Linked DNA regions of Elephas maximus indicus. Each later gene encodes a partner of the first gene's protein in a complex. Links are inferred from orthologs where the notes say so. Each region holds a gene or a part of one and is shown on either strand. Other genes may lie near its edges.

Region 1 (15,589 bases):
GGCCATCCTTGGAGTTCTACGTCTTGTAGACTGGTCTACCTCGGCTTTCTTCAGACAGTGTCAGTCTTCCCCCTGTACCCACTTTCTTCTATGCCTTCTGCGACCCTAATACACCCCAGTGTGTTTCCTCCTTTTCAAAATGGGCGACCGACAGCTCGACGTAACTAAGGCCATGATGAACGTTTAAGTTTTTCTCCTTCCTTTGCCTGCCTCCTCCTTTGCATACCTTTGCTAATGACTTTGTTTTGACCTAATGCTAATGATTTCTTTCTTTGTTTGATCTGATGCAAATTACTTTGTTTTGTTCTGTCCAACCACCAACAGAAAAATCAGAGACCTGATGTCTGACCTGTATATCTTTAGCCTGGTAAGGTGATGTTGGGCATGTATCTCTTTAGTCTTTTGGCATTATCTTATAATGAATAACTCCTCCAGCCATGCCATCTGCAGGCTACAAAAACAATTCTAACCCTTCTAAAAATTCTATATAAGCTTTAATGTAAAATTGCTCTTTGGGACTCCACAGAGACAGTCTGTGCTGCTGAGGTCTCCAGTGACATATACATCTCCTGAATAAACTTTCTCACTCTTTCTAACTTGGAGTATGTTTCATTGGCTCGACTGCTCCAGGGCACGGACCCTAACTGGGCAACACTACTACTACTCTGCTCTTATATATCTCAACAGTGATTGGTTTAAAACACACCCTACACTGATATGGCAACATTAACATAACAAAGAAAATCTTATTCTCAAATGGGATTACATCCACAGGTATAGGGGTTAGGATTCCAACACACAATTTGGAAAGACACAACCTGATCCATAACACTGGGTAACTTGGGAGTGAAAAAGGCTGGAACCATTCGGAGCTGTGCAAAGTGAAGACTATTACCCAAAGATGCTTATAACTGATCCAGCAAGGGACCCAGTGGATTTTAAAGATGTAAAATTATAGAGACTCATGTAAAAACAACACTTTATTTTGGTTTCTTCCCATAGTATAGAGGGAGGATACACTGCCTGGAGCAAAGTAAAGATTTCATTTCGGAGCTTTAGTAGGAAGATTTCAAGATGGTGGGTATCTTTGTAAAATAGAGAAATGGCAAAACTGCAAGACATCAAGCAAAGTCCCTCTGAAGAGATGCTATACGAAGAACTTAAGTTTCCCTATCACTTGAACTCTGCTAACAGCCATATTTTACATCATGTTTTGAATCCTTTCCTATATTCTAATTCCTTCTACTTAGCCAATAGGCTCCAGTGCAGTTTGTTACTCATGCTTCCGTGCCTCACCTCTCCTTTGAAGTAAGGCTAGCAGTGGCAGTATCACACCTGGAGGTGTGATAATCCTGGAGTTCTAGATGGTGTCCAGTCCTCAAATAAGCAGAGGCACAAGGCAGAGCTAAGAGTAGCAAAAGAAGCAGCTGAAAGTGGATAAACTTAGGAGGGTCATAACAATATTAATGATAATGGTTGTTGTTGTTGCTAGGTGCCATCGAGTCGATTCCGTCGCATAATGATCCTATATGTACAACAGAACGAAACACTGCCCAGTCCTGCACCACTCTTAGAATCATTGCTATATTTGAGCCTGTTGTTGCAGCCACTGTGTCAATCCATCTCATCGAGGATCTTCCTCTTTTTTCCTGACCCTCTACCAAGCATGATGTCTTTTTCCAGGGACTGATTCCTCCTGATAACATACCCAAAGTCCGCAAGATGCAGTCTCACCATCTTTGCTTCTAAGGAGTACTCTGGCTATATTTCTTCCAAGACACATTTGTTCGTTCTTCTGACAGTTCATGGCGTATTCACCAACATCATAATTCAAAGGCATCAATTCTTCTTCCATCTTCCTTATTTATTGTCCAGCATTCTCATGCACATGAGGTGACTGAAATACCATGGCTTGGGTCAGGCGCACCTTAGTCCTCAAAGTGACATTTTTGCTTTTTAACACTAAAAAGGTCTGGTGGTGTAGCAGTTAACCAAAAGGTCAGCAGTTCGAATCCACCAGGCACTCCTTTGAAACTCTATAGGGCAATTCTACTCTGTCCTATGTGTTGGAAGCGACTCGATGGCAATGGTTTTTTTTTTTTTTTTTTTTTTTTGCAGAATTGCCCAATGCAATGCATTTTTTATTTCTTGACTATTGATTCCATGGGCATTGATTGTAGATCCAAGTAAAATGAAATCCTAAACATCTTCAATATTTTCTTTGTTTATTATGGTATTACCATTTATGATCCCTACATGTCTGTCAGTCTGTCGTATTGTGGGGGCTTGCATCTTGCTGTGATGTTGGAAGCTATGCCTCCGGTATTCAAATACCAGCAGCGTTACCCATGGTGGACAGGTTTCAGCTGAGCTTCCAGACTAAGACAGACTAGGATGAAGGACCCAGTGGTCTACTTCTGAAAAGATTTAGTCAATGAAAACCTTACGAATAGCAGCGGAACATTGTTTGACATAGTGCCAGAAGATGAGCCCTGCAGGTGGGAAGGCACTCAAACTACGTACGACTGGGAAAGAGCTGCCTCCTCGAAATAGAGTCGACTTTAATGATATGGACAGAGCCAGCTTTCCGGACTTTTCTGTGCTGATATGGCACGAGTCAAAATGAGAAGAAACAGCTGCAAACATCCATTAATAATCGGAACCTGGAATGTACAAAGTATGTCTCTAGAAAAATTGGAAACTGTCAAAAATGAAATGCAATGCATAAAGACCAATATCCTAGGCATTAGTGAGCTGAAATGGACTGGTATTGGCCATTTTGAATCGGACGATCATATGGACTATTATGCTGGGAATAACAACTTTTTCAGATGAATGGCGTCAGTCACATTCACTGTCAAAAGGAACATTTCAAAATCTATCCCAGAGTACAACACTGTCAGTGATAGAATAATATCCCTATGCCTACAAGGAAGACCAGTTTATATGACTATTATTCAAATTTATGCACCAACCACTAAGGCTGAAGATGAAGAAATTGGAGATTTTTACCAACTTCTGCAGTCTAAAATTGATGGAACATACACTCAGGATGCACTGATAATTACTGGTGATTGGAATTTAGAAACAAAGAAGAAAGATCAGAAGTTGGAAAATGTGGCCTTGGTGATAGAAACGATGCTGGTGATTGAGTGACAGAATTTTGCCAAGACCAATGACTTCTTCATTGCAAACTCTTTTTTTTGCCAACATAAACAGTGACTATACACATGGACCTTGCCAGGCGGAATACACAGGAATCAAATCAACTACATCTGTGGAAAGAGATGATGAAAAAGCTCAATATCACCAGTCAGAACAAGGCTGGGGGCCAATGCGGGAACAGACCATCAACTGCTCACAAGCAAGTTCAAGTTGAAACTGAAGAAAATTAGAACAAGTCTGCAAGAGCTAAAGTATGACCTTGAATATATCCCACCTGAATTTAGAGACGATCTCAAGATTAGATTTGATGCCTTGAACACTAATGACTGAAGATGAGACGAGTTCTGGAATGACATCAAAGACACCTCAACATAAAGAAGACAAAAATCTTCACAACTGGACCAATAAGTAGGAAACCCTGGTGGCACAGTGGTTAAGTGCTATGGCTGCTAACCAGAAGGTCAGCAATTCAAATCCACGAGGCGCTTCTTGGAGACCCTAGGGGCAGTTCTACACTGTCCTATAGTGTCGTTATGAGTCAGAATTGACTCTATGGCAATGGGTTTTTTTGGGTGGGTTTTTGGGACCAATAAGCGATGTCATGATAAATGGATAAAAGACTGAAGTTGTCAAGGATTTTATTTTACTTGGATCCACAATCAACACCCATGAAAGCGGCAGTCAGGAAATCAAAAGATGCATTGCATCGGGCAAATCTGCTGCAAAAGACCTCTTTAAAGTGTTGAAAAGCAAAGATGTCACTTTGAGGACTAACAAGCTATGGTGCTTTCAGTCGCTTCACATGCATGGGAAAGCTGGAGATGAATAAGGAAGACCAAAGAAGAACTGATGCCTTTGATTTATAGTGTTGGCAAAGAATATTGAATATACTGTGAACTGCCAAAAGAAGGAATAAATCTATCTTGCAAGAAGTACAGCCAGAATGCTCCTTAGAAACAAGGATGGTAAGGATATGTCACTCACATACTTTGGGCATGTTATCAAGAGGGATCAGTCCCTGGAGAAGGGCACCATGCTTGGTAGAGGGTCAGCAAAAAAGCAGAAGACCCTCAACAAGATGGACTGACACAGTGGCTGCAACAACGGGCTCACGCATAACAATGATTGTGAGGATGGCACAGGACTGGACAGTGTTTCGTTGTTGCACTTAGGGTTGCTATGAATCAGAACTGACTCGAAAGCATGTAACAACAACAATTGAATCATTACACTAAGTGCTTTGCATAGATAATATCATTACGATCATATAGTACTATGATTTAGCTATTTTTACTATTTCCATTTTGTAGACCAGGAAATGACACAGAGAATTAAAATAACTTTGGCCAAGATCACACAACAGTGTTAGAGTAGGGAAGTGAACCCATGCAATTTAAGTGTAGATCCTGCACTGAAACACTGCAACCATCCTGCCTCCTGTTTCCCAAATAAATTTTTAAAAAAGGTCAACCGTAAAGGTGGGGTGAGGGAAGACAGATACTTGAGTCACGCTAGTATAAAAAGCAGTTCATAATGTATAATCAGCTGAGTGATTAATAGCTAGAATTCTACTTTTTTTTTTTTTGTATTATGACAATGTAGACTTGTAAATCAGGCTCTTTTGGCAAAAAAAAATCCAACTCTAGGCAGAGAAAGGAATAAAAGGCAAGGAAAAAAGTAAAGCAGCTCTGGGGGTCTCAGCAACAGCAGCTTGTGGACCATATATCTATTGAGCTGCAATTAATGTAATTTTGTCAACATTCCTTCAGTCTCAGTGTCTCTACATTCCAATTTCAAATCCCAGGAGAGTGCATCCAGTAGGCCCACATTAATCAGAAAACTCTTCTATATATGTGTGTCCAGGTTTTCCTCTCCATTACAATCACCTCCATAATGGGATATGCTGTGAGTAACCAATCAGTTGAAAGGCAGTTTCCTTGGGCACACACCCTGCATCAAATATAAGTGGATATTCTGGCAAGGCCTGTGAGCTTTTGCTCGCACCCTGGATCCTATTTGTCTGGCCTCTGGTTCTTGGGATTTGAGTTAGCAGCTTACTGCTATCTTGCTCGCCAATCTTGGGATTTGTTGGGCAGCCTGTGAGCCAGAGCCCTGCCATCTAACCAGCAGATTTTGGGCTCGCCAGCCCCTTCAGCTACATGAGTCAGGAGAAGCCTCCAGCCTGACCCACATTTCCAGCCTCTACAACTGTGTGAATCTTTTCCTTAATATAAATCTCTCCATATATATATGTATATGCTTTACTGGTTTTGCTTCTCTAGAGAACCCAGCCTAAGACATTTGGAACCGGGGGTAGTTCCAGAGAAACAAAACGCTAAGGGTGAGTTTTCTAAATTGGTTTTCAAATCTGGTTAGTCTTAAAGATGTTGATGGCTCTGCTTTCAGTAGTAAAGATGACACAGCTAATCCTTGAAAGAAAGCCTTATTTCTTATAGTAACAGCTGATATCGCCAAAAATACTATGTAGAGGATGGGATTTTCCAGCCTCTATAACCATGTGAGCCATTTCCTTGATATAAATCTCTCTATACGGGGCAGTTCTACTCTGTCCTATAGGGTCGCTATGAGTCGGAATCCACTCGACAGCAATGGGTTTTTTTTTTTTTTTAATAAGGTTAAGCGTTTGGCTGCTAACCAAAAGGTTGGCAGTTCGAATACACCAGCCGCTCCTTGGAAGCCATATGGGGCAGTTCTACTCTGTCCTATAGAGTCCTCTGAGTCAGAATCAACTCAACGGCAACAGTTTCGTTGTTGTTGTTGTTTGTTTTATATATACATATATATATATAATGCTTTACTGGCTTTGCTTCTCTAGCGAAGCCAGCCTAAGACAGTGAGAAAGTCTGTATATGTTCTAGGAGAGAAGAGAGAAAATGGGGAATAAGCAACATTGAAGAAAATAATGGCTTAAAATTTTCTATAATTGTTGGAGGACATTAATCCTGACATTCAGGAATCCCTTTAAATCCCAAGCATAGTTAAAATAAAACCCAAAAACAACAAAAAAGAAGAAATCCAGACCTAGATTTAATCACTGTGAAACCACAAAACAATCAAGACAAAAAAGTTCCGAAAGAAAGAGAGAGAAAAAGAAAGACTTAAGGTACCAGATTTTAGATACAAGTAGAGAAGATAAAAGTAGGTAATAATTCTTATTAGGATTGGGGTAAAGTTCCTTTGAGATTCATCAGTATGACAGGAAGTCTCCTGATTAAGTGCGGTAGAAAATTCTTGAATACAAGAGTATGTAATGGAGGGGACAAGCTGGACACACACATAAACAAGAGTTTCCACACCAAGCAGAATAATACAGATTAGAACATTAGATTATAAACTAAACACAATTTTTCCTAAAAAATGAAGAGATTTAAATAAAGAAGTGAGGAAAATAATAACTAACATTTACTGAGTACTATGTGGTCGCTATGAGGCAGAATCGACTCTACAGCAATGGGTTGGGTTTGGTTTTTGGTAGAGTTAAGAAAAAAGAAACTGAGCAGTGAAGAACTAAACACATCACTTACGAACTTTTGGGGGAAGGAGTCCAAAGTTGGTAAAAGACAATATCCACGACTCTAGATGTCTATTATAATCCAAAGTTTTTACTAACACAGCTCATTGGACATAAAAGCTCCAAGAACTATTTTTCTTTTGCAGGTGTTGAGTATAGGAGCCCTGGTTGCTCAACGGTCAAGATCTTGGCTATTAACCAAAAGGTCGGCAGTTCAAATCCACCAGCCTCTCCTTGGAAACCCTATGGGGCAGCTCTACTCTATCCCATAGGGTAGCAATGAGATCCGAATCCACCGGAGGGCGACGTGTTTGTTTTTCGGTTGTGTGTATAGATCAACTACAATAGAAAGACGTCGGAAAGAACTGAAAAATAGGACATATGATTATAAGAGGCTACCAGCCTTGGAAACCCTATGGGGGAGTTCTACTCTGTTCTTACAGGGTTGCTATGAATTGGAATCAATTGCAACCGGTTTGGGTTTTGGTAGCGGGGATTAGCTGTCACCTTTTCATCTGGGAATGCACATTCCACTCTAACTTCTCAGTGTAAATTACATTAAAATTACATAGACGCCAACCAGGTGTCCCATTTATATTTTTAGGAGTGAATACTGAGGGCAGATTCCAGCAGAGTTTTGTTCTTCACGTTCCAAATTACCCGAACTTTACTGATTATTCCACCGTTAGAACCTTCGCGATTTGCCGGGCACTGAAATCCATGAGTCACAAACACCGGGTCATAAAATCATAGCAGTAAAGAACAGGTGAAAAGTTGTTCCTAGTTGTGTTGTGCAGGAGCATACAACTCCCGTCATTCCCTGTCAAAAATCAACAAATAAACAGAGGCACCGCATTTCGGATTCAGCGGCGCACTGTTCGCAATGGCGCCTAGTTTTTGTAGTTTCCACGTGGAAAGCTGCCCGCCCATCAAGGCTCGTTCCGGAGGGAGGAAGACTACACTTCCCACAAAGGCGCAAGAGCTGACACCGACCGGCTTACGTCATTGCCCCAGTCAGCCAATGGCAGCACCGGGCGGCAGTGAGGCGAGCGCCGTCAGGCGCCAAAGTGTTTCTTTTCTTTTTTTTTTTTTTTTCCGGAGCCGAGCGGGTGCTGCTAGCGGAGGCGCCATATTGAAAGGGACAAAACTCCGGCGACAGCGAGTGACACAAATAAACCCCTGGACGCCCTCGTTACCCCAGTTCTAAGGGCCGCGATGTTGTACCTAGAAGACTATCTGGAGAGTGAGTGCGCGGCGCTGACGTGGGCCGCCGGTGTGAGCCGCGGGCGGGCGAGAGTGCGAGTGGCCGGGCAGGCGGGATGGCGGGAGGGAGGGGGCGGCGGGGGATGTTTCTTTCTCACGGTAACTGGCAGGCTCGTTGTGGGCTGCCGGCTCCCTGGCCCCCCCGACGCACGCAGACGCGCAGTGACGTAGGCGCGTATTTTCGCCGTTGGCCCCGCCCCTCTGACGGACTCTCTCCTTGACAGTGATTGAGCAGCTTCCCATGGACTTGCGGGACCGCTTCACGGAGATGCGCGAGATGGACTTGCAGGTGCAGAGTAAGTCGCCCGGTTTGCTCTTGTTCGCTTTGCGCATCCAGCGCTAGACTTGCCGGCTCTTTGACTCTTCTGGCGCGCTCGCTAGTGCGTAAGGAGTTGTCAAAGAGAACGGGCATTGCCGAATCTTGTCTCTTCTCTCCCGCGCTGCTTTTCTCGTGGCGTTCACAAGAGGAGACATTGGGGCAAGTGTATTTTTTTCTCGAATTTGGGTCTGTGCAAAAAAAAAAAAGTATACATTTATTTATTTGGCATATAATGGAATATAATGGAATTTACATCAGCATAAATGTTGAGAAGGTTTTGACTTGAGCTAATACGTTACCGAATTTAAATTTCAACACTTCTTTCAAAGCTCCTCTCCTTAAAATTTTCAAGAGCAGAAAACTTCTAGAAGCATGGCTTGTATGTAGGTTTTCAGAAACCCTGGTGAACTTGGAATACCACATTTTGGAAAGTTACACATTGTAGCGTACGTTCTCAGTTGTCAGCCACACAGTGTTTCCTCAATCAAAATGAGTGAGGGTAATTAGATTTTATTGTAAAGCTACCTGTCGCATGTAATAACATTTTTGTCAGCGAGCTTTTCTTCTTTTCGTGATAGCTTGGTTGTCGGGTGACTTTACCGAAATTACTTTGCCGTTTCAACTAGAGAGTTGGCAAATGGCCTTCAGGGTGTTCTGGAATACACTGGAATTATATCCTATGTATATATATATATTTTTTTTTTTTTTGATTTCTTTTTTTCTGGCAAGTTCTGAAAAGGGCCCATTATTCAGAGAATGCAAAGAATCACTGTCTTTGGAGATAAGAAAGCAAATACTTAGGCAGAATTACATTAACTAAAAAAAAAAATATATATACATTACAAAGTAAGAAAACAGTGCTGTATACCATATTTATGTCTACCATGCTGGGACAGAACCTGACAAACCTTCCCTATTTGTGAAATGAGTATGATGAGAGTTGTTTCAAGTGTCTTGTAGGGATACTTTGTTAAAAATTAAGAATGGGAAAAGAATAATATGATACATAATTAAAATGTATAATTGAAAGTCCCTTGTTGGATGTGTCACTCCCTTTGTTTGTAGGTACTCCTTAATTGTGTAATTAGCATTAATAGCTAGCCTTCATGGAGTATGGCCCCAGAAGATATGTGTTTTGATTCCATGCATCCCAGCTATGTGTGGTCTGTATATAAAATGTTTGTCATGCTGGCAGGTTTTCTTAGAAAAGTAGGCATGGATGTTGATGTGGGTTTTGAATTCTGATGGAGAGGAAAGGAGTATTATGGAAAGAGATCAGCTCAACAAGCTTCCCAGACTGTGGAAGCCTTGGAGTAGCTAAGACCCTGTCCTTTTCATTTCCCCTTGCTTCTCTGCACCCCTCCCCCCCCCAGCCAATACATCTGTACCCATTGTTAATGAATGTACTTTCTCAACCTCTTACCAGTTTCATTAGGGGCATATTAGAAAGGTGATATGGTATGGAAGCCGCCACATCCTTCTACTGGGTATACTGTATGATGGAAGTCTGAATTGTACATGGGGCTCTCTATCCAGCTCACAAAACCCAATTTAACTTTATTATAGTTGAAATGCTAAAGATTTTTTAAAGTATTGTTTTCTGCAGGATCAAGCACAGACTTTTATGTCAGGTAGGTCTGAGTTCATTTAGGGCTTTGCTACTAACTTACTGACTTTGATCACATTACCACTTCTGAGGAGTTTTCATCATCTTTAAAATGAGAATGATCTAAGGATTAAAATAATACAGATAAGTTACAAAGTATAGTACGTGGTGCAAAAAAAAGCAAAACCAAACCCATTGCCCTGGAGTCGATTTCGACTCATAGCAACCCTGTAGGACAGGGTAGAGCTGTGCCATAGAGTTTCCAAGGAGCACCTGGTGGATTTGAACTGCCGACCTTTTGGTTATCAGTTGTGGCACTTAACCATTATGCCACCAAGTTTTCCAAAAAAGAACATTTTATAAATTTTCATTATCATCACAAATTTAAAATTCTCTTATAATTTATACAAATTACAGGCTTTTTAACTTGTATTTTTTTTTTTTTTACAATGATTAGAGTTTTCTAACCTTAATAGATATTATGGGTTAAAAGAGGTCTCTGTGTTAAATAAGTTTATTTATTAAAAAAGGAAAATACTTTTTAAAAAATTACAGTAGGGACTCTCAGAATCTTTATGAAGCTGTTTTGTACTGCAAATTTCCAAAAGGAAGATAGAATAAAAAGGTTTTCCTCAGCTTACATGATGACAGAATCCCATTTATTTGTCCTTTTGTAAAAAGGAGCCCTGGGGGTGCAGTCCTTAAAGCACTCAGCTGCTAATTAAAGGGTCTGCAGTTTGAACCCACCAGCCACTCCCCAGGAGAAAGATGTGGCAGTCTGCTTCAGTAAAGATTTACAGCCTCGGAAACCGTGTGGGGCAGTTCTGCTCTGTCCTTATAGGGTTGCTATGAGCTGGAATCTACTCAGTGGCAGTGGGTTTTGGTTAACAGACATCAAGTGAGATGATTATTCCTGGCACAGGCACACACTTTGAGGAAAACTTATCTAGAATAACTAACAGTCTGTTAAGTGAATAAATGATTGTACCTGTTACATTCACTTGTGATAAGAGATAATGAGATACTTAAGGCCATATCACGAGATATTAAGATCTTTTTACCACCTTTTCTTATTAAAAGAGGTGTAAGGATTAAGTAGTGGTGCTTTCAATAAGTAATTGTGTTTTGAGACATTTAGCCTATTTAATTCTAATCACTTCTTTTTTTGGAGAAACAAAATTTTTCTGTGTGCTTTAAGTGAAAGTTCACAGCTCAAGTTAGCTTCTCATACAATAATTTATACACACATTGTTATGTGGCCCTAGTTGGTATCCCTGTAATACGTCATCATGCCTTTTTCTACCCTGAATTTCCTGTGTCCATTCAGCCAGCTCCTGTCCTTTCTGCCTTCTCATCTCGCCTCCAGACAGGAGCTGCCTATGTAGTCTTACGTATCTACTTGAATTAAGAAGCACACTCTTCATGAGTATCATTTTATGTTTTATAATCCATTCTAATCTTTGTCTGAAGAGTTGTCTTCAGGAAAGGTTTTAGTTCTGGGTTAACAGAGAATCTGGGGGCCATGTCTTCTGAGGCTCCTCCAGTCTCAGTCAGACCATTAAGTCTGGCCTTTTTACTAGAATTTGAGTTCTGCATCCTACTTTTCTGCTGCTCTGTCAGGGACTTTCTGTTGTGTTTCCTGTCAGGGTGGTAATTGGTGGTGGCTGGGCACCATCTAGTTCTTCTGGTCTCAGGTTGATGGAGTCTCTGGTTTATGTGGCCCTTTTTATCTCTTAGGCTAATATTTTCCTTGTGTCTTTGGTGTTCTTCATTCTGCTTTGCTCCAGGTGGGTTGGGACCAATTGATGCTTCTCACATGACTGCTCGCTAGCTGCATGCAGGCTGCCCACCTTGGGGCTTCTGTCCAGGGTGGCGGTGCTGGGCAGCACATCTGAGTTGATGTAGGTCAGCTAGGTGGACTTGGTGTCCTGGGTCCAACTCTCCTAGTAGCAGGGCCCAATGGCATCAGCCCGTCTCCTGCCACAGCCCATCCTCCTGCGCTATGGGTGTGCCCAGCAGCTACTTGGCTGGCTACTCCGAGCGGCTCAGCCCTGGCAGCACAGCTCAGGCCCATGGGGAGGCAGCGGCAGCATCATATCCTTGCGCCTACCTGCCTGCCCACGCCACAGCTAGGAGCGGAGCTCTGGCGCTGGCTGCCCCCTTTGCTGCCTCCAATAACTTTTCACCTCAAGGCTCAACCATTGAAAAACAATCGGTGTCATTGACTCTACTTGATTATTAGAAAAGACTTTGAAATAACAATCACAGAAATAAATTGTCAGTTGGAAAAAATATAACTTCTTTTTTAGTAAGGTAATCAAGGAATTATATATTCACACAATTAAAGCATGACATACTTAAGTTACTGGCCAAGTGAAAGGAACATATGTTGTCGGGTATGCTTTTTCCCCCAAAGTGTATATATATTTAGTGTATGAACCTGGCTGACTAAATGTAGAAAGTTTTTATTATGTTTCAGATGCAATGGATCAGCTAGAACAAAGAGTCAGTGAATTCTTCATGAATGCGAAGAAAAATAAATCTGAATGGAGAGAAGAACAGATGACATCCATCAAAAAAGTACGTTCAATGTCCTGAATGAATTATCGATAAATATCAGGACCCTATTTCCTGAATATGGAAATAAGGAAAAGTTATTAGTGGCTCTTTAGAATTTAAACAACTTACTGTGTTTTAAAGCTCAAGATGTAGCAATTTTTAATCATTGAAGCATTTTGGTAATTAAATTGTTTCAGTAGTTAGTGATTTATTAAAAAGTTATCGAACCTTAAAAAATAAGTACATACTTTTTTCCTAATTTTTTTTTCCTTTTAAACGGTTTTATTCTAGCTATTGGTAATTAATCTTGCCTTGTCCTTAGAAATATAATACTGTCTGAGTTTTGGCCCCAAACTAGGGTGAAAAATCAGCAGAACTTGTAGTATATTTCCTGTGTTGCTTAGGTACCTAGGTACCTAAGACTTAAGGAAGGGCAGAATCTTTGAGTTGGAAGGTTCCTTAAAGGTCTTTTAGTTTAAAACTAAATTTGTACATGAATTGGGTCTGTAAATGTAGAATTGAGTGTTTATTAATTTTATAGAACTTATAGCTATCTTCCAGAGTGTAGTGAGCATCAGCTCTCAGCCCAAGGTTTGTGTTAAAGGTCTGATCTATCTAGTTTGTTCAGGAATGTATTGGAAAGAACAGCTTAAAAGACATGAGTTTTGTCATGAAAATGACTGGGCCATTTGACTGTGTGACTTTGGAAAAAGAACTTCCTTAGTTCACATAGCTTTAACTAGAATGTAGGCTAGATTTGGAATGTGTTTATTTTTATTTATGTATTTTTTTCTAGAAATTCTGTACATCTTTCTTTGATTGTAGGCTGCTGTCCCTAACTTATAATTTTTCTCCTATCCTTTCCCTAACCCTAACTGGGTTTTTATTGCTAATGTAGGGTGACTGGATATTGCTTTAGTGATAACAGAGTCTCACAGAATAATAATAAAAATGTAGTTATATGTCCTGCATACCCATGTTTAAAAACTATTAATTTATCCTTGAAATCAAAATGTTTTTATTCAGGATTACTATAAAGCTTTGGAAGATGCAGATGAAAAGGTACAATTGGCAAACCAGATATATGACTTGGTAAGTAACATTAAGGCACATACTACATCATAAGTATTTGAATTATGGATTATGTTTTACATTTTACTGACTTAAATGCTATAGGAAGAGTAAACCAAAACTGAAGTGTTTGCTCTTTGGATCCCTTTAATTTGAGTGTTTGCTTTCAGTTTTTTTGGTTTCTTTGTGGAAGAATCAGAGAGAGTCCACAGCATAAATTACTAGGTCAATAACCTTGTATTTTGGCAAAGTCTCCATTTCTGTTACAATTGTATCTGATATTGGACACTTTTTTTTTTAATAAGAATTGATGTTTAACCTTATTTTATAAATCCTTATGTTTTTCAGGTAATGTGTTTACTTGGCTGATAAATCATTTTGAGATTATTTCTGTTGTGTAATACATATAACAGTACTGTGTTAACAAGAATTTTTTTTTTTTTTTTTTAAGTTTTTCCTCTTTATTTTGATGAGTAGGTTTGTTAACTTTCTTTGTGGTTACTTTGGAATTTCTCTTATCTTCCTAGGTTTGAACTAGTCTATTATTACTTGGTATCGCCTTGTCTTCCTTTTCATTAGAAAGTTCTATACCTATAATGCTTATTCCAGCTTGTATTGTTCTGACATTGTTGCCTCTCTGGTTCCCTGTTGTAATTCTTTTGGTTTTGTATAGTCCTTGAGAGTTAATTTCCTAGGTTGGTATCTGGCTGGTATGATCTCATGTCCTAGATTTAGGCTGTGATCTGATTTTTTTTGTTCTCAAACCGAAGGACTCCCTTTAATAATTCTTGTAAGTTTGGTTTATTCTTTACATATTCCCTTAATTTCTGTTTATCTGGAAATTTCGCTATCATACTTGAATGAGAGTTTTGCAGAATGTATTATTGTTGGTTGGCAGTTTTTTTTTCTTTCAAGGTTTTATATACGTCATCCCATTGCCTTCTTCCCTACACAGCTTCTGCCGAATAAGCAGAGCTTAGTCTTATTGTTTCCCCTTTGTATGTGACTTTTTGTTTTTCCCGAGCCGCTGTCAGGATTGTTTCTTTGTCTTTGGATTTAGTGAGTGTGATAATCATATGCCTTGGTGATTTTCATTTGAGGCCTATCCTATATGGGTTTTGTTAAGCTTCATTTTTCATGATATTAGGGAAGTTTTCTGTGAGGAATTCTTCAGTGATCCTCTCTGTTTTCCATTTTTTCTCCCTGTTCTGGAACTCTGATCACTCACAGATTTTTGCTTTTGATTGTATCCCACATAATTCCCAGGGTTTCTTAATTTTTCTTCATTCTTTTTTCTGATTTTTCCTCGAAGTTGTATCCAAGTGTTTGTCTTCAGTTTTGCTGATCCTGTCTTCCATTGTTTCACACCTCCTCCTTAGCCCATTTATGATGCTGTCCATTTCTGAAATTGTGTTGTTTATCTTTAGATTTCTAATTGTTGCTTTTGTATGATTTCTAGTTGTGAATTTATTTTGGCATTTTGTTGCTGTATTATTTTCCTGAATGCTTCTATTTTTTTTTTTCAGTATTTTCCATGAATTTGTCCATTTTTTACTCACTTTTGTCTCCTTTTTGCTTCAACTGTTGGATAGCACTGAATATGAGAGATTCGAATTCCCTATCAGGTAGTTCTAGTGACTTTTCTTCTACTGGAAAGTCATCTGGTGTTTTATTTTGGATGGCTGCTGGACCCATCCTGTCTTGTTTTTTTTTAAATATGTTTTGATATTATCTGCTGTCTTCAGGACATTCAGTAGTTATTTTCTTCATTTATCGATTGTAGATTTCCTTATTTCATCCTGCTTTTTTGTTTTATTTGGTTATGTCTGAGCAGGCAGGCTGTGCGTTCTTTGTTGTTTACTCATCTGTGGACATGATGCTTTTTACCTCCTTGTCCAATGGGCAGGGCCAGTCGCTCAGCTATGGTGCAGCAGGGCAGGTCCAGCTGAAGGGAAAGGGCTGGGATGGATTGTCTGTGGCATGTACTAGGGCTGACAGGGCAGGCCAGGAGTGAGTGTAGGGCAGATTCTGGTAGGCCGTGCCTGTGCTGTTTGGGGGTGTGATGTTCAACACA
Region 2 (16,108 bases), on another chromosome or scaffold:
CTGCACATTACAGGACTCAATAAATACGTGTTAATGAATAAATAGATCAAAATATTCCTGGTCCTTTCCTCTGAATGAACTCCAAATTTCTGTGTTCTTCTTAAACGTTTGTATGAACACAATGCTCTATACATACAGTCTGACAAAAACAAGAGTCCCTCTATAAACCAGTGACTTAACGTTTTTTGTACCTGAATTCTGGTTGGTAATAATGCTTTCTCTCCCCCAACTCAGCCTCCAACTCCCCCCCCGACCCCCGCTTCTCTGTAACACTTTCTTTACCCTTTGCAACTCCTGCTTTATAATCAGCACACTCACCTATACCCTCCAGCTCCTCACTCAGCATTCCTTCCACAACTTGTCTAAACTGACGACTGGTGACTGCTAAGGCCACCACTCTCCCATGGTCCTCTGGTGGAGGCTGCTTTTCCCTCACATCCCACCCATGATATGCCTGTGTCCTACGGGCCCCACACTGCAGCTTTCAGATCACTACTCCTCCACCCATCTACAAACTCCCTTCTCTTCTGAGACCTTTGTCAACAGTCTACGTTACCTTTCTCCCTCTTAGTCACAGTCACTCCCTCACTCACTGAAGACTTTGGCACTAGTTTCCACTCCTCCTCTCCACCCCAAGTCCTATCATCTTAAGTCACCCTGGTGACTACAAAGTCCACATGGGTAGCCCCTTCAACACCCCATCCCCAGTTTCCTTACCACCCACTCTCTAACAATCTTCTTGTCCATGACACTTCAGTTCCTCCCATTCTGCTATAGCTACAGCCTAGACTGTCACTGTCTAAAAGTGCCCCAGCTCTGCAATGTTAAAATTATACATCCTAGGCTCTGATCACAACATCCTATCCTTCTGGTCTGTTTGCTCCACTGTGCCAGATAGCCCAGCTCCTCTACTTCAGTACCTCTAGTACATGACCCCTCTTCATTCTTCCTATCCACCAGGCCCCACCCCCAGCCTTCACTTTCCTTTTAAATCCAGCTTCAATTCCTCAATCTATCATTTCAGTCATTCTCTTGCCAATGACCTAAACTCCTGCCCATATTTTGCTTGCTGAGTGTTACTGGAGAACAATTACACAACAGGTGTTATGGATTGAATTGTGTCCCCCCAAAATATGTGCTATAATTTCTAACTTCAACCTCTATGCCTGAGGTTATAATTCCATTTGGGAATGGGTTGTTTTGTTATGTTAATGAGGCATATGGCTTGAGTCAATCTCTTTTGAGATACAAGAGATTAAACAAGCAAGCGAGAGAAGCAGAGATGGGGAAAGAGAGATGCCAAGCCACGTGAAGACTGCCTAGGAGTAGAAGCTTATAGACAAGGACCTTCCTCTGGAGCCGAGAGAGAGAGCGCCTTCCCCTGTAGCCGGCACCCTGAATTCAGACTTCTAGCCTCCTCAACTATGAAAAAATAAATTTCTGTTTGTTAAAACCATTCACTTGTGGTATTTGTTATCGCAGCACTAGGTAACTAAAAAAACAGGGTAGACTGGTATCATCAAAATTTACTGTCACAAACTCAACAAGTGCACCAACACTGCCAGATAATCCTATCTCAACAACTATTGAAATACTTCGCTCTCAAACTTCCAACCCCACCCAACACCTGACAGGAGACATCACACATCAGATGAGAACCACTACAGGGTCCTGCTCTGGATTTCCAAACCGACACCTATCAGCACCCATCTTTTCTCCCTTCTCTCAGTGTATCTTAGGCCAAACTCACCAAGTATGCTCTAGCTCCCAGCCCTGTCTCCCACTTTCTCCATAACTACACTATTAATTATCCCTTCTTTTTTCAAACTCTTTCAGTTGTTTCTCACCAAAGATATTTCAACAAAACAAACAAAAACAACTCTACATTGACCCCAGGTTCTCCTACAGTTTCTATCCTTTCTTCTACCCTTCACAGCCCACTTCAATATGGGTGGGTCCACAAAAAGTGCTTCCTAAGTCACCTCTGACCTTTATGTCACCAAAACCAATAGGCACTTCTCAGTTCTCTTAATCTGTGTCTCAACAGAATTCAACAAAGTTACTCACTCTTGAAATATTCTTTCCTCAGCAGCCTACAAACTCTCCTGAATTCTCCAACTCCCTGGTCATTCTTCCACAGCTGTATACCCAATAGCACACAAACTGAAGAGATTTCCAAGAATAATTTTTAAAGCAATTTATCTTATGGACTACTGAATTTGAAGGTAGGCATTGTTATCTTGTTTTGTGAACAAGGAAAGCAAGATACAAGTAGGTTATGTAATTTGTCTTCAGTTTTATAGCAAGTGAACAGCAGACCCAGGATCTGAAATCAGTTCTATATGACTCTCATTTTATGCCAAAGTACCTCCATATTGCTTGTTCTTCAGAGCACTCACAACTGCCTAGTCCCTGGTTCCCAATCACCTACTCTCGCATTTCTTTCTCCTGATTTCCTAGTCCCAAAACTCTATTGCTCTGGTTCTTCTAGTGTTTCAGGTCTCACAGCTTTTCTTAATGCCCTCCGCCCCACTACCCGTTGTTCCTGAAATCACGGACTGACCCAGTGAACGCAGGTTGAGCTCCTCTGTGATCTTGGCTTCCCTAAGCAGCTCCTCCTGGGTCAGTGGGCGCTCATAGTGGGGCCCCTTTCGCCGCCGTGACTGGCCCTGCCTTTCCTGTACCCGAAGGAACGTCTGTCGTGTATGCTCAGCTGTAGACTGACGCATGGACTTCCGACCTGAGAAGAGAATCAGATAGGAAGAAGTCTTTGAAATCATGAGCTTTTTTTTTTTTAAGCTTTTTATTTGGAAATTATTTCAAACTTACAATAAGTTGCAAGAATAGTACAAAGAACATCCATGTGCCCTTTGCCCAGACCACCTACTATAAACATTCTGTCTCATTTGCTTGCTTTTTTTTTTTAACCACCTTAAGTTGCACACATCGTAGCTCTTTACCTGTAAACACTTCAGTGTGTATTTCCTAAGAATAAGGATATTCTTTATATAACTAGAATACAGCTATCAACTTCAGTAAACTTCACACCAATATATTACTTAAATCTATCATCCATATTCCAATTTTGTCAGTTGACCCATTATTGTCCCTTACAGCATTTTTACTGCCTGCAGTACAGGATCCAGTCTAAGATCATGTGTTACATTTGGTTATCTCATCTTTTTAGTCTCCTCAAATCTGCAACAGTTTCTAAGCCTTTGTCTTTTATGACACATAATCACCTCCTTTAAAGAAAGCCACTTAAATTTGCAGTTCGTCACTCTCTTTGTAACTAGTCAAGAGGCTTCCCCTTGAAAAATGTTACACTAACAGCTTGATTAATCATACTAATAGAAGGGAACAGATCAACAGATGTTTCAAATATTAATTTTTACTAGCTTGAAAATGCTTAAATTTTTTCCTCAATGATAAAAGATTTATCCTCCTGTGTTTTGCTTAAACTGGTATTAAAAATAATTAGTAATCTCTTAACTTTAGAAGAGCATTCCAAAAATAATCTGAATGGCAAAAGAAAACTAGTCTGAGATAAACTTATGCAGATATTCCAGAAATGGATAATTGAGAATTAGCTAATTTGTTCTTACATGTGTATCTATGGACTACATGTACTTATTTATTTATTTGCCTCACAAATTGGGCTGTAAATCCTCTATAAAAATTCTTTTTTATACTGATACCCATAACCCGTTCCCGTCGAGTCGATTCCGACCCATAGCGACCCTATAAGACAGAGTGGAACTGCCCCATAGAGTTTCCAAGGAGTGCCTAGTGGATTCTAACTGCCGACCTTTTGGTTAGCAGCCATAAACTACTATGCCACCAGGGCTTCTTTTATACTGACACTAAACCCTTAATATAAGACTTAGCATCCTGGGGACATTTAGGAAATTCCATACTTATAGTACTGATAGTTATCAGATGCTGAGTCCTCCTATCACCTGTCCTCTAGTCCTAGAAGTAAACAGGATTACCTCTTCCCCAAGTCAGTCTGTGGGAAGACTGCTCACCCCACCACCCCCCAAAAATCCCCACTCACTGTCTGAGCCATCATCCTGTAGTTCTAGTGGCAGCAGTGCTTTCTCTTCTCGGGTCTTTTGAGAGCTACCAGCTGGGGTGCTCACCTTCCGAGGCCTCAAGCTCTTGAGAGGCTCCTAGGGACAAATTGGCATCAGAGACCAGAGAAGAGAAGAGAAAGGGAGGAAGAGGATTAGAATCTTAAGAACAGAAAACTAGTATTGTAGCAAATGGGACTGCTGTGGGGACTACTGGGTCCTGATGAAGGGGAGAACAGGAACTGAGAGGTCCAAAAAAACCAGGAATCCTTCTGCACCTTATAGGCCTTGGTGACTATTCGGCGCTTCCTTCTCGGCTCTTCTGCTTCTCCATCACTGGATGGTTCATCCCCTTCATCGATGTCAAAGTCAGAGTCCACCTCATCCTCTGTGTCTGACTGGTCCCCTTGATACTCATCATCTCCTGATTCCTGAGGGGACAGGGAAATGAGGGCTGGCTGGCACTAGAGATATCAATGCCCCTTCAGAAGAAACAGAATCTCTTCATTTTCCTGCTAAGGGTTGGCCCACACTACTTCCCAACCCAGTTCTTCATTTCGTTGGGCAAGAAGCCTTCCTAACTGATGGCCACTGGCTCCAGTACCGCGCCCTTCTAATAATAATTGACTGCCCTTTACCTATATCACACTGTGTTAAGCGCTGGAGAACACAGGGATATGGTTTGGTCTCTATTTTCAGGGGGATCACAGTCTACTGGAGGACAGGACATAATTATAAAAAGAAAAGTTTTAATGCAAGGCAACACATAAAATAACAATTGGCAATAAAATGTTACAGGGATTCAGAGGAAGGCTTGCTATGGGCTGGTGGTATGGGAAAGTCTACACTATAGACTTTAATCCTTTAGACCACGTGTCAGCAAACTTTTTCTGTAACGGGCCAAATAGAAACAAGTGGTGGGACAGATTTGTTCTGCAGGCCATAGTTTTGTTGAACTCTGCTTTAGGTTCTAAAGGATGAAGAGGCCTTGAGCCATGGTTTAAAATAATGGTAGTATTTAAGACAGCCAAAGAAAAGAAGGAATCATGAGCGGATGGAATAACAGAAACAAAGGTACAGAAGCAGGAATTTGTAAAGCATGTTTATGGAATAAGGATTTAGACCCAAGTAGAGCAGAGAGTTTGTCTCTGGCAAAAAGCCTTCCTAGCTGAAGGCCTTTGAATCTGGCACAGTCAACCATCTTCCAACATTAACTGATTGCCCTTCAGTATTTTACGATTTGAAAAGACAGCTGCATTCAGTCTATAGAGAAGCTTATATGCCAGGCATGACTTTAATATGCAGGCCAATGATTCTCAATCTTCTTCCTCCCCTTATTTGTCCTAGCACTATTACCACTGTTGAGGTAAACTAACATCACTGAGAGAAATGTCTCATTTCTCAGGTGTGCTGGGAGAGACAAACAGTTGGGTGCTACTACTATGGGTAATGGGGAATGTGGAAGATTTGGGAGAGGCGAAAACAGTGTGACAAAGGAGTGTTTCAAAAAGCTCTGGAGGTGGTTAGATGGGCTGAAGTAGAGCTTGGAGTACAGCCTAAGCCTGAGATGATGCAGGTTAGGGCTAGAGTGGGAGCCACCACGGAAAGGGAAGAGAAAAAAGCACTTGGGAGAAGGGAACTCAACTGGGCTGGGCAGCACCTCAAACATGTGGCTCTCTCTTCAATCAGTGGTACAGATTGATGGGCTAATCTTGGTACACATGCTACCAAAGCAAGCAAATAACACTGATGGGTGACACTCCAAGCTGGCCAGAGTTCAGTCTTGCAGTGATGACCATCATTTCCTCCCAACTGAAGTTTGTGAAAGACGGCCTCAGAGCACATTAATCCTCTCAGCTCTAACCAGTATTAAGTCGTATCACTAGAGGGTAGTAGTTCAACTACACATTAGCTTAGTGCTCAACCGAAGTGCTTTCACTAAATCATGAGTTTACTATTACTCTTTTGGTTTTTAATGACGGTCATTAATAGGCATGACTAGATAAGAAAATGTTTTTATACCCATAAAACCACTATTACTTAATATACTTTATAAAAAACGGAATGATAAATTTTTCCTGGAATTTAATGCTGAGTAAGTTTGTCTCTTTTGATGGAAGTACTTACATGCTTCTTTCTTATTAAAAAAAAAAAAGAAAGAGAGAAATTCAGGGTTTAGCTGTCAAGAAGCTCATAGCTAAATTTAATATCAACTGCTATTACCATTTTAGCATAGGCTCCTGGTACAATTATCTGATCTGTCTCTATTTTTACTGTTCCTACTTTTTGTTTATATAATAAGCCTTCTTAAATCCTTTTTGGAAGCATGAAGGGTACATATTAAATAACTACTCATAAAATGACAGGAATAGGAAAATGGGCTGAGGGGAATTGGCCTTGGAGGAGGGATGAGAAAGTTCTATTTTAAACTACTTGGTTAAGGCTGTGTAAGTATGACTCCTAATCAGTCCCTAAGTCTATGGATTCTATTTCCTTACTTTCTCTTGAATCCTCCTGTCCATGTTTCTCCCTCCCACAGCCACAACTTCAGTTTAGACCACTATTATCTCTTGCCTGGATTTTTGCAACTGCCTAATCTGGTTTCTTTGTTTCTAGTCTTGTCCCCTTCAAACTATTCCCCTCACACAGAGTACTCTTTCTAAAGTATAAATCTGACTATGGAACTTGGATGAAGCGTCTCACTCTAAAGAAAAAAACTCCTTAATTTGGCTCACAATGCCCCCTATATGATCTGGCCCATGCCTATTTCCTCCAGCCTTTCCAATCTTTATTCTTCTTCATCCTCTGGAAAATGGGGTAGACTTGGGGGTTCCCAGACAAGACCTGAATCTCAGTGCTTTTACACACTCTTCCTCACCCCCTCCAGTGTACTGATTGGTCCCCTCCCCCAGCTCCCAGCCCTACAGCTCTTCAACCAGCCAAAGTCTACTCTTAATACTGTCTTCAGCTTAAACATCATCTCTCCTTGGATGGCTATGCTGACCACAACTCTGGCTCCCATGGGTTACCATAGCATCCTATGTTTACCTCTTATTTTACTGCTTATCACACAATATTTTAACTGCCTGTTAACCCAACTAGTTCTCCCATGCAGGTATGAAATGTTAAGGACAGTGTTTTTAATACTCTGTTTTCTTAGAGGCTATTACAGTGCCTGGGATGCTCTGGGTGCTCAATGATATTTAATAAATGGATTTGGTCAATAAAAATCTAAGGAGTGACATTAGACATATACTGTTGAGCAAAACAGACTATCTCTAAACTTGTAGAGCTTACAACCTAATAGGAAAATATAAACAAATAAGTAAACCAAATCCAATTACAAATTGAAATATGTCCTATGAATGCAACAAATGGGGACACTTTTTCAGGTCAAAGAAGAGTTACCTAAGGAGACATTTACAGTGAGACTTGAAGCCTGAAAAAAGGAATGTGCTAAGCCCCTCTATCTTTTGGAGAGATTACTTTCTACATGTCAGTTAAATAACCAGGCAGCTGGCCAACGAGTATATACCGAATGACTACGATGTGCCTTGCATGGGGTGAGAGATGCAGCTAGAGAAATACACAGTAGGTTTCTCCCACACTCTGCTGTCTCCCTCCAGAGAGCCTCTCCACCCCTGACTCCCTTCAGCCCTGTCCAGGGCTCTGTTCTCTAGGACTCCACTGTGTATCCCCAGACTCTCTCACCCCGTCTCGAGTATCTGCGTCCAGGACTCCTCTCTATTCCCGTTCCCTTCTTCTTTGGCAGGACTCCTCTTTTCGTTTTCTCCCCTCCCTCTACCTGGGCCCGGCTCTTGCCTCTGTGAAACCCCCATAAGTCGTCTGGTAGAACTCATCTTCCTCCTCGGCCTCTAGAAGCCCAGAAAGCCGGTTCCCGGCGGTCTTCCGCGGGGCTCGGCCCCCAGCCAAACTCATACCGCGCACCGAGAGTACGCCGCCGCCTGCGGCCCCTCACCCAGCTCGGGTCTCGGAGCTCGGCGCTTGACACCACTACCTGCGTGTGACCGATGCAACGGAAGCGGGGCGTCTACAGGCAGAAGCAGCAGAGCGTCGAGGGCCTCCAGCCTTCTTTACTCTTCAGCCCCGCCCACTACTGCGCAGAGCCTCTGCTACCCCTGCCTTATCCCGCAGGGGCTTCGGCTGTGGGAAGCATGCCATCCCTGGCGCTGAGAGCCTTACTACCGTTAAGTCCAGAATTTGCGAGTCGAACAGTTTCCTTTTAGAAGAGGTCATTGTCCCCCTGCTCCAGTCCGTTTTCCGCTCTGCTGCTAGTAAGAAACTTTCTAAAAACTTGTACGTGACTTTGCCACTCTTCTGCTCAAAACCTTCAATGGCTCTCCATCTTCCACAGGATAGAGTCTAAGCTCCTCGAGGCAGAACAGTATTGTGATTAAGAGCACAGTTTTAGAGCCTACTAAACCTGAGTTCGAATGTGAGCTTTAAGGTCTTCCAGCTGTGTGACCTTACCTCTTTGAATCTCATTTCCTCATCTGTAAAATGGGGCTAATAATACCTTTTAAGGCTGTTGTGAAGATTAAAAAATATACTTATTAACTGATTAGCACAATTTTAGTCCGCACATGGTAGATGTTTAGTAGATGATCACTACTATTAATGTGCCATTCAAGAGCCTTCCTAACTTACCCTCTTCTTGCTTTTTTAATCTCACTTCTGCCACATCTCCATGTATATCCAGCATCACTCCCTTGAACCCAATTCTCTGTTATACCTCCAAGCTTCTTCTTCTTAGAATCCCTGTCCTACACATGAGACCGTGTTGGTATCTCCTGTCTGGAGAGGAGATGAGAGGGCAGAGGGGGCCAGAAGCTGCCCGAACGGACACGAAGACAGACGGTGGAGGGAAGAAGTGTGCTGTCTCATTAGGCGGAGAGCAATTAGGAGTGTACAGAAAGGTGTATAAATTTTTATATGACAGACTGACTTGATTTGTAAACTTTCACTTAAAACACAATAAAAATTATTTAAAAAAATTCCTGTCCTTTCTTGTCTACCTGGAAACATTCTTATTCTATAGGGGAGTCAGGAGTACTGAAGGAAGAAGTCCAAGTTGCTGTGAAGGCATTGGCGAAAAACAGGGCTCCAGGAATTGGTGGAATATCAATTGAGATGTTTCAACAAACAGATGAAGCACTGGAGGTGTTCACTCGTCTATGCCAAGAAATATGGAAGACAACTTCCTGGCCAACTGACTGGAAGAGATCCATATTTATGCCTGTTCCCAAGAAAGGCGATCCAACCAAATGTGGAAATTATAGAACAATATCATTAACATTACACGCAAGCAGAATTTTACTGAAGATCATTCAAAAACGGCTGCAGCAGTATATCCACAGGGGACTGCCAGAAATTCAGGCTGATTTCAGAAGAGGACGTGGAACCAGGGATATCATTGCTGATGTCAGATGGATCCTGGCTGAAAGCAGAGAATACCAGAAGGATGTTTACGTGTGTTTTATTGACTATAAAAAGGCATTCGACTGTGTGGGTCATAATAGATTATGGATAACATTGAGAAGAATGGGAATTCCAGAACACTTAATTGTGCTCATGAGGAACCTTTACATACATAGATCAAGAGGCAGTTGTTCAGACAGAATAAGGGGATACTGATTGGTTTAAAGTCAAGAAAGGGTGCATCAGGGTTGTATTCTTTCACCATACCTATTCAATCTGTATGCTGAGCAAATAATCCGAGAAGCTGGACTAAATGAAGAACAGGTCATCAGGTTTGGAGGAAGACTCATTAACAACCTGTGTTATGCAGATGATACAACCTTGCTTGCTGAAAGTGAAGAGGACTTGAAGCACTTACTAATGAAGATCAAAGACCACACCGTTCAGTATGGATTGCACCTCAACATAAAGAAAACAAAAATCCTCACAACTGGACCAATGAGCAACATCATAATAAAGGGAGAAAAGATCGAAGTTGTCAAGGATTTCATTTTACTTGGATCCACAATCAACAGCCATGGAAGCAGTAGTCAAGAAATCAAAAGACGCATTGCATTGCGTAAATCTGCTGCAAAGGACCTCTTTAAAATGTTGAAAAGCAAAGGTGTCACCCTGAAGACTAAGGTGCGCCTGACCCAAGCCATGGTATTTTCAATCTCATCATATACATGTGTAAGCTGAACCAATGAATAAGGAAGACCAAAGAAAAATTGATGCCTTTGAATTGCGGTGTTGGTGAAGAATGTTGACTATACCGTGGACTGCCAAAAGAATGAACAAGTCTGTCTTGGAAGAAGTACAACCAGAATGCTTATTAGAAGCATGGATGGTGAGACTGCGTCTTACATACTTTGGATGTGTTGTCAGGAGGGATCAGTCCCTAAAGAAGGACATCATACTTGGTAAAGTACGGGGTCAGCGGAAAAGAGGAAGACCCTCAACGAGGTGGACTGACACAGTGGCTGCAACGTAACAACGATTGTGAGAATGGCGCAGGACCAGGCAGTGTTTTGTTTTGTTGTGCATAGGGTCGCTATGAGTCGAAACCGACTCGACGGCAACAACATAGGGCAGTCAAGTCTTTCCTCACATCCATTCCTCTCGTTCCAGGCACAGTTCCCATAACTATGGCGATCATGCCTCCTGGAGTCTCTGGAATAGTTTCAATTTATTTTGTGACATTTTCAGAATTCTGTGTCTACTTCTGTTCCCATTTTTCATCCTGAAAATGTAGTTGTCAAACCATAGCACTTGTACATAACTCCATGATGAGACCTTTTGTTGTAACGATTTGGGTGTCTGTCTCCTTTATTAGTTTATGATCTTTTTGAGGGCAGGGACTTTATCTTCATCTCTTATGCCAGGAGCTTTCATACTGCCTGGGGCAGTTGTGGCTAAATAATGTACATTGAATGATGGAATTAGCATATTACAAATGGAATGAATTAGTACCTGTGCTCTTATTCTTGCCTCTGTGTTGCTTTTGCCAGCCACCAGCCATTCCATTCTGACTTTAGGAACTGTACTAAGACATAAAGGAAGCTTTTCTAAAGCTGTGTGTTTGTGTGTATGTCTTCCTGGCCATATTTTGTGGCCACCACATTGCGCCTTTTCCTAAAGTATATATTGGTGAACTCCCTTTTTCACTTCCTTGGGGGCACCAAGCCAACTTGTCCCGCCCTGCCCCTGCATCCACACCCTGCCACGTCACCCCAGTTTTGCTATGCCAGGAATGTTACTGCCCTCTATGACTCAGAGGGCACCCTGGGGATGGAGTGGGAGTGGGGACAGAGACAAGGTTTGGGGGTGGGCGTGAGATGCCTACTTCTTAAATACCCCTAGCTCCACTTCTTGAATTTTGCCTTCATCCATTCATATATTCAGGAGGTATGTATTGGGTACCTACTCTGTTCCAGATGTTTGAGATATTAAAATTGACGTCATCTTTGTCCTGAAGGGTTCATAGTCCTATTAGGGAGACAAATAGGTACACAAACTGACATAATACAAGGTGGTAGGTATCTAATAGTAACCATTTTCTGGTACATAAAGCAGAAACTAAGACTCTTAAGAAGCCACCAAACAGGGGTGTCTTCTTTCAGGATGGCTGAAGTCAAATTCACCCCTTCATCCAAGTGACAGATCAGATCCCTTTGTTTGACCTCCTGCCCTGGTAACTTAGGGCTTTATTGGTCTTTTTCCAATTTTTAAATCAGAAACAGCTTTACCTCTATACCAGCTGATAGCTAAAATAACTCAGGAAACGGTAGCAACTCCATGCTTTATATGGAAACGGAGATAATCAATAAATATTGAACACCCACTATGAGCCCAATCCTGAGCTAGGCAGTGTGCCCCCACACAGTCCCTGTACTGTTTAGTTGGGTGGGGGGTATAGAATTAAAAAAAAAAAAGAATTAGGCATCATAAAATACTTCAACACTGCACAATTCCACTGCTGTGAAGTTACCAATGTCAATCCAATCCTTTGAAGTAGTTGTCTACTTTCATACCCCAAAGAGGAAGAATAATCCAGCAGGTGGCAGCAGGGAAACAATCTTGGATCTAGTAGGGGAAGGATAGATAGAAGGGGATATTCTATGGACATTCGGGTCCTAGATTCCTTCAAAAACCCGGAATATCTGGATAGAATAACTAGGCCCCATCTTGAGGGCTATAAAACTTATACGTGTTTTTTTTTTCCTCATTTATCTTCATTGATTCATTCAACCATTAATTATTGAGCCCCTGCGATGTACACAATCATGATGAGGAGCCGGAAATGCAACAGTAAACCGAACAGTTCCTGCTGTCCAGTAGTTTACAATCTGTTCAGACAGGTTTCTGAATCACCACCAGGGTTCAGAACCTCCAAGGTACTTTGTTAAAACTGGAGTGGGTTAGTGGAGTGGGTTAGTGCGAAGACTAGACGATGGAAATTGGGCAGTTTCTCTGTTTCATCTCTATGACCTGTGGAGCACAGAGAATGGAGAGTTGGAGGCTAAGGGTTTGGATCACGCAAAGGTTTTGATATGGTCTAATGGTCTTCCATTAGCAAAGAAAGGGAAGATGTCACTGTGAATACTAGGGTGCACCTCACCCAAGCCGTGGTGTTTTCAATAGCCTCATACGCATGCAAAAGCTGAGCAGTGAGTAAGGAAGACTGAAGAATTGATGCCTTTGAATTGTGGTGTTGGTGAAGAATATTGAATGTACTATGGACTGCCAAAAGAATAAACAAATCTGTCTTGGAAGAGGTACAACCAGAATGCTCCTTAGAAGCAAGGATGGCTAGACTACATCTCACACACTTTGGACTTTTTATCAGGATGGATCATTCCCTGGAGAAGGATATCATGCCTGGTAAAGTAGAAGGTTAGCCAAAAAGAGGAATACCCTCACAGAGATGGATCGACACACTGGCTACAACAATGGGATCAAGCATAATAATGATTGTGAGGATGGCACAGGACTGGGCAGTGTTTGGTTTTGTTGTACGTAGGGTCGCTATGAATTGGAACCCGCTAGACAGCACCTAACAACAACAAAAATGGCCTTCTGTAGCCCGTTTTGACAGAACTTCATTCATTTATCAAATATTTATTGAACTTTGTCACTGTGCCCATCATTGTGCTTGAGGCAAACAAAAACATAGGAGGTGTTACAAATGTCATTCCTAAGGCAAGACGTGCACGCACATTAAGCTAAATAATAAACAGGGCAGTAAAGCCGGAAAAGGGCCGGGAAGGATTCTTCGTGGCTTGTGATGTTTTGTAACATTCGACTGTTTAATATCTCAGACTTGACACACGCCCTTTTCTCCGGAGTTCTTTCCTGGGCTGTTAATTTGAGAGGGCCGAGTTCAGGACCCTAAACCCAATCCTTTCAAAGCGTTGAATCTGAATTGACCCACCGAGCCACCATAGGGTTAGTCAGCCGACCAGGGCGCGTAAGTCTTCCACCCTTGGATTCGTCAAGGCTTGAAGGACCCGCACCACGTGACCGCAGTCAGGCTCCCGATTGGCTCCACTCCTATCCGGACCGTCACCTCCCACTGGGTGGAATGGAACCTTGAGAAGAAGATCGGGCGCATGCGCGGTGCCCGGATTTCCCTGGACACCGTGAGTAGAGCCGTGGGGTTGGGCGATAAACAGGCTGTGGCCGGAGGAGGGGGAGGGGGCGTTTGCTCCGCCCGGAGTTCTCACGCCTCCTTATCCCGTTAGGTGTGGTTTGGTTCGAACCCGGGGCCCCCGGAGCCGGCTTGAGCCTGCTCCCTTGTGAAGGGGGAAAGTAGCCCCGCGGAAAGCTGTTAAAGTTGCGAAGGGGGTGCGAGAAGAGAGTTCTCCACCCATGCCCGCCGAATGGTACGGCCCTGAGCTGGTCCCTGAGCTGGTCCGGGAGCTGGCCCGACGTGTCTGAGAGAGGCCCCGGCGGGGGCGGGGAGGTGGCCCACAGAACGCGAGTTCTGTGTAGAGACGTGGGAAGATTCGATTTCGAGAAGAGGAAGAGCTCGATTGAAAGGGAGCGAGGGCGCTGAGGTGGGGGGCTACCAAGATGGCGACGGCCTCCTCTGGGCCGTCGACGATCGGATTTTCATCCGTGGATTCCGGGGTCTCTTCCTGCACCTCGTCCTCAGGTAAGCAGGGCGGGGCGTGGGCAGGGGGCTGATGACGACTGTGCGATGGGACGGAGAGCGAGACCTGGCAGGGCACCTGTAGCTGGAGGTGTTCGAGGGGTTACCGGTAAGAGGCAGAGGGTTGGATTTTCAAATAGCAGGGGTTTCTGAGCTGGCAGGGGACTGGGAGTGATGAGTGAAAAGGATGAGAAAAAAAAAAAAAAAAGAACGAGAAAAAGGAAGGTGTGGAAGATGTTGGCTGTTTTCGACAAGACCGGGTTGAGGACTCAGGAGGGGATGGAGATTGAAGGTAGGTGTAGGAAGGAAACAAGGGGAACCCAAGGGAGTAGAGAAACTAAACGGAGCACTGACAAGTAGAGAGAATTAGCGTGAGAGACAGGTAGAATCCAACTTGATTGTGGGGTTAATTGGATGAACAGTGTGAAAGAGAAGCCATGGAACTTAGAGATATTGAAGAGTTATGAGACGCTTTAGATTGCTGGGGAGTTAGCGAATCGTGAATTTTTTTGTGGTGGAAGTTATCGGACCCGGCTTTTTCCTCAGAGACTCCCCCACATGCGTCATTCCTTCTCACTTCGTCCTCCCCTTACACAAATACGCACAAACGCACACTTTGTCAAACATCTTCCTTTGGTGACTCCTATCTCTAGACGGCCCAGCTTTGAAAACGAACGGGAATTTTTGAAGAGAGCCTCAGGAATGTGGAAAATTAGGGTCAAAAGACCCTAAAAACAGTTGGGGAAGGTGAAATAGACTCTTTCCATTGCAGTAGAGGCTGAGGGAAGTGATGTTGGGAATTAGGCCTTAGAAGAGGTGGAGGAGGCTCTGAGTGCTGTGGAGGAATATTGCGTAATAGGAAATGAACTGGGAGAAAGCTTAAAATGTATCAGAAATTTGGAACTTGGAGAATGGAGCCAGGGAATATAGAGAGCTCAGAGTAGTTAGAAACTAATGAAGATTGAGGGAGGATTGAGGAGCCTGCAAGAAAAGCAACAGACTGTGTGTAGGAGGGAAAATGTGGTGGTGGTGGGGATTTTGAGTCACAATCTGTTCTAGAGGTTCCATCAGAAATGTGTGGTGTCCCACAGTGACTGTTGCCTTTGCACTGTGAGGAGGAGAGATTGCCAGATGTTGAATGTTTTAGAGATGTTGACATTTTTTAGGCCTAGGATTGCATCCTTGCCATTTTGAATTGGCTGAATAGAAGGTTCCACCTTTCACATTCCAGCTCAGATGAGCAAATACATAGTCACAAATATCTTCTTCATAAGCTGCAGTTTTCTTGAGAAGTGATTTTTGCCTTTCCTGTAAAAAGCATTCGAGGGCCACAGCATCTCTTGTTGCACTCTAAGCTTGAAGGATAAAGTGAAAGTGCCAGTTTTTTAAAAAATACAGTAGGTCCTTAATTTGAAACCTCTCCTTACCCCCATTAAAAAAAAAAAAAAAAAACATAGTAACCCAGAAATAAGAGTGATTGTGTATGGTGCTTAAGCAAACTTTTTTTTTTTAGTTGTAAATATATATGTATGTAAGAAAATATTTGCCAGTTCAACATTTTTCACATGAGCGATTCAGTGACGGTGATTAATTATGTTGTAGAACCATCACCCGAATCTTTTTTTTTTAATTTTTATTGTGCTCTAAGTGCAAGTTTACAAATTAAGTCAGTCCCTCATACAAAAATTTATATAGACCTTGCTATATACTCCTAATTGCTCTCCCCCTAATGAGATAGCCTGCTCCTGCCCTCCACTCTCCATTTTCCTGCCCATTCTGCCAGCTTCTGACCCCCTCTGCTCACTCATCTCCCCTCCAGACAGGAGATGCCAACATAGTCTCAAAGTGTCTACTTGATCCAAGAAGCTCGTTCTTCATCAGCATCTTTTTCTATCCCATTGTC

Evidence for each region.
Region 2: ING3 (region 1) and VPS72 share a complex: the UniProt entries of both Homo sapiens proteins name them as parts of the nuA4 histone acetyltransferase complex. The link is inferred for Elephas maximus indicus from reciprocal best matches to the Homo sapiens genes ING3 and VPS72.

The regions. Positions count from the first base shown.
Region 1 is NC_064826.1:28,784,186-28,799,774, reverse strand, and holds the start of ING3 (inhibitor of growth protein 3), read left to right. Parts: upstream 1-7,742; 5' UTR 7,743-7,912; coding exon 7,913-7,940; intron 7,941-8,184; coding exon 8,185-8,256; intron 8,257-12,364; coding exon 12,365-12,465; intron 12,466-13,470; coding exon 13,471-13,536; intron 13,537-15,589. UniProt on the Homo sapiens protein: Component of the NuA4 histone acetyltransferase (HAT) complex which is involved in transcriptional activation of select genes principally by acetylation of nucleosomal histones H4 and H2A.
Region 2 is NC_064821.1:185,209,137-185,225,244, forward strand, and holds the start of VPS72 (vacuolar protein sorting-associated protein 72 homolog), read right to left. Parts: upstream 8,117-16,108; 5' UTR 8,013-8,116; coding exon 7,896-8,012; intron 4,505-7,895; coding exon 4,352-4,504; intron 4,173-4,351; coding exon 4,058-4,172; intron 2,741-4,057; coding exon 2,564-2,740; intron 1,451-2,563; exon of another isoform or gene 1,313-1,450; coding exon of another isoform or gene 1,246-1,312; intron 1-1,245. Other genes in the region: PIP5K1A (phosphatidylinositol 4-phosphate 5-kinase type-1 alpha), read left to right, coding at 14,127-14,208. UniProt on the Homo sapiens protein: Deposition-and-exchange histone chaperone specific for H2AZ1, specifically chaperones H2AZ1 and deposits it into nucleosomes.